Ovis aries: one gene and its partner. The protein of the gene in region 1 purifies or fractionates together with the protein of each later gene. This does not show direct contact. Links are inferred from orthologs where the notes say so. Each region holds a gene or a part of one and is shown in the gene's direction. Other genes may lie near its edges.

The links.
Region 2: the proteins of UBR5 (region 1) and CEP78 purify together in Homo sapiens (affinity purification with western blotting; 3 studies listed by BioGRID, with this or other methods). This does not show direct contact. The link is inferred for Ovis aries from reciprocal best matches to the Homo sapiens genes UBR5 and CEP78.

What each region holds. Positions count from the first base shown.
Region 1 is NC_056062.1:74,932,493-74,936,244, forward strand, and holds the start of UBR5 (E3 ubiquitin-protein ligase UBR5), read left to right. Parts: upstream 1-1,332; 5' UTR 1,333-1,852; coding exon 1,853-1,914; intron 1,915-3,752. UniProt on the Homo sapiens protein: E3 ubiquitin-protein ligase involved in different protein quality control pathways in the cytoplasm and nucleus. Mainly acts as a ubiquitin chain elongator that extends pre-ubiquitinated substrates.
Region 2 is NC_056055.1:58,675,876-58,679,527, reverse strand, and holds part of CEP78 (centrosomal protein of 78 kDa), read left to right. Parts: intron 1-192; coding exon 193-365; intron 366-456; coding exon 457-529; intron 530-1,581; coding exon 1,582-1,685; intron 1,686-3,409; coding exon 3,410-3,584; intron 3,585-3,652. UniProt on the Homo sapiens protein: Centriole wall protein that localizes to mature centrioles and regulates centriole and cilia biogenesis. Involved in centrosome duplication: required for efficient PLK4 centrosomal localization and PLK4-induced overduplication of centrioles.

The sequences.
Region 1 (3,752 bases):
ATGATAGGTTAAATGATATAATCAAGTCCACACAATTAATAATTATTAGAAACGGCACAAATTCAAGTCCGTCTGGCTCCAAAACTAACAGTGTCCATTGGTTTCCTCTGCTTCCCTGTGGCCCCCACGAATTTCTAATAGAGGCTTTGAAATCACTTTTTAGTCTAATCTGGGCCATTTTGGAGCTGGTGACCTACAAAAGTGTTCCATTATCTGTCTCAAGGGGTACCTACTCTATCCTGATTTATAAATAGTCATATATTTTGTTCAAAAGAACTTCTAAGCAAGTGCGTATGTGTAATGCAGTAACAGAAGAAAAGTGATATTTAAAATTAAGAACGTTTCACAGGACCCTTAATTTAACGGAACATACTGGAGAAAGAGGCTTCGTGTTTTCACTTTTTTTTTCTTGAAAGAAGTACTTGATTTTTTTGAAGGGGCCAGAGAAGCCTTTGAGAAAAAAATCTATTAACTGGTTCCCTAGAAAAAGGCAGATCTATTTAAGAATTAGCCCTTATGATCCCACTGATCATAAGCTGAAGAACGAAACATCTTCGATGAAACTGATATTTCATCTTTCATTTAAAAGAATTAAAAATTCATGAGTCATTTAAATCAGGAAATCGGTGGAAATTTCCACATTTTGTCTTTGTGTGGATACGTGATGGTGGCGGTTGCGTGGGGGTGGGGGGTGGGATTGGGGAAATCAGGGTGATAAAAAGAAGTTGCTGCAAAGTCAGCTCTATAATCCTACGATTGGACCTTCTGGAAAGGCCCTTACATAACTACCTTACTTCTCCAATAAAACGCTGTCCGTTTCTTGCCCCTTAACAGATTTCTACACTTCCACTTTAAATATAACTGCGGATGTGAAGGACGAGAAACAACAACAGAAAACCCCTAAGGGTCCGCAAAATAATTAGGGCTGCCCCAAGAGAAATCAGAGCGCGAGACTGGAGGAGCCCCTGTTCCCTCCCACCACCACCGCGCCGGGGACACACACTTAGCCTCTCTCCCGGACTCCCCGCCCCAGCCGGCTCGCCCCTCCGCCTCATCTGTCCCGAACACGTGCTCTCCGGAACACTCACTCGGGAGCGAGCCCACCCCCCCGGGGGGGGGCCGGGCTCGGGAGCCGAACGGCCCAATCGGCGCGCGCCTTACAGCGCCGTGGCTGAGCCGCCCAATCGGCAGGGCCTCGCCGCCCGTTTCCCGGAGCCCCGCCCCCTCGCGGCCGTGCCCCACGCCCGCCGGTCTCCTCCCTCCTCCTCCTCCTCCCGTTCGCCCCTCCCCCTCCGCTCGGGAGCGGAGCCTGCGAGACGGAGAAACTGGGGCAGAAGTGAAGATGGCGGCGGCGGTGCTGGTGGTGGCGGCGGCGGCTTCTTCTCGCCAGTGACGCGCCGAGCGGGCTCATTTCCCTCCCCACCTCCCTAGTCCGGACCCCGTCCGCCGCCGGGACCACACACCGGCCCCACAGCCCGCAGCCCGTCCCCCTCCCCTCCTCAGTCGGGCCCCTCTCTCCCGACGTCCGGCTGCCGGTGGCGGCGGCAGCGGCGGCGCGCCCCGGGTCCCGGCCGCCGGCCTCGCACTCCTGCGCCCTGTCGCTGAGGGAGCGGGGTGGCGTGTTGATCCGCCCTCCTGCCCGCCCCGCCGGACCGCCGCGCCTCGGACACACGCCCGGCAGGGAGGCGGCGGCGGCGGCGGCGGCGGCCCCTGCGCATTTGCTTCTCTCATTTGGGGACCGGGAGGCGGCGGCGGCTGTGGCTGTGGGTTTTGACGAGGGGAAGGGGTTCGGGGGTGGGGGGAGCCGAGCGGGAGGGGGCCGTCCTCGAGAGGACGACGAGAAGGAAGCACCATGACGTCCATCCATTTCGTGGTTCACCCGCTGCCGGGCACCGAGGACCAGCTCAATGACAGGTAATAGGGCCGGCGGGCGGGCCGGCCGGCGGGCGGCGGGGGGAGGGGCGCCTCCCCGCCCTCCCCTCCCCCACGGGGCCGCGCCGGACCGGCGGCCGGTGGGGAGGGCGGGGGTCCTCACTGCCCCCCGGCTAGGCCCCTTCCGGGGCAAACTTCTGGTCCCAAGGACCGGGGCCGCGGGGTCGGGGGGGTGTGGGGGGAAGCGAGCTGTGGACGGGGAAGAGCACTGCACCCTCTAACGCCCCCTGGTCCCCCCGCCTCCACGGAGGAGCCGCGTTCAACTCGGTGGGGGCGGCGGGTGGGTATCCAGCTCCCGGTGCGGGGAGCTTCATCACCGCCCGGGCCAGGCCCGAGGAATCCATATTAGTCAAAGTTGAATTGAGACAGACAATGCGGATGGGGGATGGTGGAGGCTGAAAAAAAAAAAAAAGAGGGAAGCGGAGGAGCCGGGCGAGGGGCCCCGGGGTAGGCTGGGTTCGCCCGGGCTCCCGGGAGCTGTGTCCGGTGGGGTGGTCGGACCGGCGGGGGCCTGGGGCTCCTGGGGGAAGGGGAGGCGGGGCGGGGTGGGGTCGGGGGACCTGGGTGGGAGAAGCTGATTCCCTGCAGATCGCGGGTGGGGTGGCGGGAGGGAGGAAGCGCCATGATTATTGTTATTATTATTAAATTTGAGCCCCTGCAGTGAGGTTTGCCGGTCCGGGGAGGGGATGAATTTAGGCGAGGGTGGGGGGCGGGGAGGGAAGTGGATTGGGTTCCCTTTGCTCTGTTTTCTCTGGAAACGGTGCTGGCAGCTCCTGTTTCCCAGTCCCTGTGGTGCGAGCTTTTTTGTTTCCTTTTTTTATTCTAATGATAGTGTTTTCCTGAGTTGTAATTTGACAGCTGAAAACCGTGCGTAGAGTCAAAGGAAAACTCTTACGTTTGCAGTTCGCAGTGCTGCTTTTCTTAACACGCTGTAAATTTCTGGGATGGGTTTTGCTATGGGCGGAGGAGGCATTATGATTTTTTTTTTTTGGTCTTTCATAAGGAGGCTGTTTTGACTCCGGATTCCTCCCCTTCCCTCCTCCACCGTTCCCTGCCAGTTTAGGATATTGAATTGCAAGGCCGCATGCTCTCAGGGAACTGAGATAAAGCAGGAAAAGTTCCTTCACTGTTGCAAAACAGAGATTCCGAAAAGGTTGAGGGAAACCTCCATTAGGCAAGGCTGAGAATCTAGGACTCAGATCGAATGATGGGCTAAATGTTTTACAGGGTCAGAAAGTGGGGCATTTGAAGTTTCTATACCAACACTTTCGCTGCTCTCTCTTCCTCATAAATATAGAAGGCCGTCAGGGCCCACGTTTAGAAGTTAGATATGATTTTTGTTAAGTGACCGGGTGACATAAATTGCATGAAGCCCTGTTTGTCATGCACTTCCCTGAGGGAGGAGGAGGCCTAACTTCTGCTGATATACCGGCCTCTGTTTCGGGGAATCTAACTGCCTCAGGTGGGGCGGACAGCCTTTCAATCCGGGAAGCTGGAGGCTTGGTTTCTGGCATTGGGTTCGGATTTGTCTAATCTTTGCTGTTGTAGCCATATTGTATTTCACATGTTTGTAGAACTTTTGGAATACTTTCTCAAAATACTAATCATTTGGAGTGGTCACATAGTTCTTTTAAGTACGAAAATAAGTTTTAAGTCATTTATTTTATAATGCAGTCTTACTCCGATTTTATTTCATTACATATCTTTTGTTAAGACTTTTACATAAGGTTTTTTTTTGGGGGGGGGGGTAAATTTTAGAACCAGGCTAGTAGTGAGGATAGCTGTACTGTCTGTCATTCATAGAATCCAGTTGGCCGTGC
Region 2 (3,652 bases), on another chromosome or scaffold:
TTAGGAACCTCTGTACACATAGATTATGTTTCCTTATCTCATGTGATTGAAGTTTTGAGTTTACATATGTCCACACTTAAAGAGGGTTTAAAGGGCAGGAGTCTTTTCTAATGCTTAGCCCAGAGTGGATGCTTTTTAATGATGATAAAATGTATGGTTGAAGTCACTCATTTTACAATAATTTTGCTTTAGCTTCTGACAGAAATAAAGTTTACAGAAGTCGTGTGCCTGCGATAAGAAATAAAGATGTGACCTTCCAGTTGTGTAAAGCTCTTAAATGCTGTTTAAGTGCATCAGGTGCGCTAAGGAACCTGGAGCTAAACGGGCTAGTTCTGAGAGAGAGAGACTTAACGATGTTGACAAAGGTAAGCCTTCCATGAGTCCTGCCAACATTTGATTGTTGCTTTGGGGGAAAACTAAACCAATAAAATTTTGAACTTTTTTTCCTCATTAAAGGGATTGAATAAATCGGCCACTCTGGTGCACCTGTCTCTTGCGAATTGTCCGATTGGAGATGGAGGTTTAGAAAGTGAGTGTCAGTCTTGAGTTTCTTCCCATCAGACTGGTCTTGTGATTCACTGCACACCATGTTGATTCCTGTCTACCTTTTCTTGGTGCTGTCCCCGCCTGGATTGTTTCCCGTACCTGCTCATACCGTGGTCCGTTCTCATTTGTACCATGGAAGTCTGTCATGCTGGATACTCTGAGCACTGATTTTACTTCAGTTTGCGTTAAGCCCCAAACCACACATTTTGTATTTTCTGTTTTTTGTGTGTGTTTATATTTTTGTGGTTTCTTTTTAAGAAATATTGTGGGAAGGGAAATAGCAAGATGTCAAGAGCAACAAAATATCTGTACCTTTAAATTGTTAGGACATCTATCTTCAGTAATAATTATAATGCACTGAGGAATGTGTTAAAGTAGGAGATATATTCAAAGTACTGTAAGAGCATTTAAAAGGTGAGCAAGCTCAGTAGTGTTGGCAGGGGTGTATCATGGAGGTAATCACAAAGAAGGTGACTGTTGGGGTCCTGAAGCATTCGTGGGTGTTCACTGTGCCCAGTACTGGCCTGGAGGGCTAAGGTGGGCTGCATTTCAATTTCAGGGAACAGAGTTTGAGATTGTCTGTCTTATATTACGGTATTATATTGCATAGTATCTAATAAGATTCTGAGTTCATAGCTGACATTTAAATTGTTGATTGAAAATTGGGATATATCATTGGAAATAGAAGTAAGAGGCTTATGCTTTTTAGGTTTTTCTCTTTTTCTCATGTGTGTTAAAAGGTATATAATACTTAACTGAGTGGTTAGGAATAAAGTTTGCAGTATTCAGTGTATTCAGTTTTAGTATTTAAGTAGAATTAAACTATTGCTGTAAACTGGAACACTGTAGCACTTCATCGCTGACTTATTGTAGAATACAGCTATTGGGGAAGATTGGCGACAGTGATTTTAAGAATCTCGCTGTAAACCTCCAGTTGACTCAAGAAAAGCAAATAAGTCAAGTCTGACCAATATATAGGCTCTTCATCTTATTGTGTGTGTGGTTTTCTTTTGTTTTTGTTTTTTTTTCTTTTAGTTGTTTGTCAAGGTATAAAGAACTCTGTCACTCTTAAGACAATAAACTTCACGGGGTGTAATCTGACATGGCAGGGAGCAGATCACATGGCCAAGATCTTAAAGGTGATTTTATGTTTAAACTTTCATGAAAACATATGTGATTGTAGCACATTAATTTCTTGGTACAAATGGCAGTGATTTTTGTCTTTTGATACATGTGAGTGCAGCTTTAGTTTTGTTGAAAGAATATGACCAGTTTTCAGTTTGAGATTCTTCATTTAGTAAAGATAGTCCACTTAATCTTAGAAATAAGATATTTAATATATACTACATAATAATATTTAAATACTTTTATGTCTTTTTAGTTATTGAAAACATTTACTGTAATACTGTGAAGAAACTGTCATTATAGTCTTCAAGACTTAAATAAATGAAGTACTTATTAGCTGCTATAGTCTATAAACTAATAAAAATTACTACTTCAGAGCTCTCTAAATGTAGTTTTAAAAATACTGCCTTAACAACTTTATAATGGTTAGGCCTAAAATTTTTGAATAATTTGACATGAAGCCTTTTTAATACTTTGATGGTACAGATCAAGGATAGGTAAACTATGGCTGGGGGGCCAAATCCAGCCCATCCCTTGATTTTGTAAAGAAAGCTTTTTGGAACATAGCCACACCCATTGTTTGCATGGTAACTAAGGCTGCTTTCACCTTACACCCATGGTGATAAGTAGTTGCCACAGAAACTGTATGGCCCACAAAGCTGAAAGTTTTTTAATTGAAATTATAAAAATTAAAAAATGCTTTGCACCTATACAGGGCAAATCCATTGATCCCGGGGATAGAAAATGGTGGTGAGCTTGTGTGCTGAAGCCAAATGTCCTAGGTTCAGATTTCATCTCTCCCAGTTTCATAGCTGATGACCATGGGCAAATTGCTTAACCTCTGTGCTTTGTTATGAAGTTTAAATGAACTCATTTGGATAAATAGTGCCTGGCACATAATAAGTACTGTGTAGTTATTGTTAATAGAAAAATGACACTAATGATTTTTCTTTTAGAGTATCAGAGGAACTTTGAGTCTTGTTCAAGAATGTAATAAGATTTTTTCCTTTAAAGTCAATGTTCCTTGTTAACAAAATGTATTTTATGAATATAAAGAACTGAATGTCTTTAAGATAATGCTAGTGGTTAAATGTCAAATTCTCGGCCCATCAAGGCACATCAAACTGACTTTGCATAGTCCAGGCCTTTAAAGTTGGTGTGTATACCTAAAGCAGTATGTAAGATCCATTTTGTAAATATAGTTTTTAAAGTAATACCTTAGAAGTTAGAAGAAGATATTAGACCCCGTTTACTTTTGTATCATTTAAAAAATCTGTGTCGTTTACAGTGTACACAAACTATATGTATAGAACTTCATGTATGTAACTTGTTAACAAATAAGATGCATGTTAAAATTTTTTCTTAGAGGGTGCCCAGTCAAATGTTTGGAGACTACTGGAGGACAGAATGATATAATTTAGAGCCTCAGCAATGACGCAATTTAGAACTAATTCCCTGGGTTGGCAGATAAGGGAAATAAAATTCATAGACTGTAAATGAATTGTCAAACTTTATATAGCTAATGAAAAACAGTCATCCAGTGGCTAGAGTCTGATCACTGACAGACTTGAGTCTGGGTCACTGGATCCCTAAAGCAGAATTGACTGTTTAATTTCTCCTGTCATATGTGCTTGGCACGTGCATGTGTATAAATCTCTGACATAATAAGCTATACTCAGTAGGCATACGCTGTTTCTTCATTCAAGTGACTTACTTTCATCCCATTCAATCTGTGAAGTATCAGACCATCAGAAGGCATGAAGAAACCTGGGCTGAGAGTCTTCGTTACAGGAGACCTGATCTTGACTGCATGGCTGGTTTGAGGCGCATCACTCTGAACTGCAACACGCTCATTGGTGACCTTGGTGCAAGTGGTTTTGCAGAATCTCTTAGTGAGGATTTATGGCTTAGAGGTAAATTCTAAAATTGAATATATTGAATTTTTCATACTAGATGTGCTTAGCTTTTGGCATGATACTGT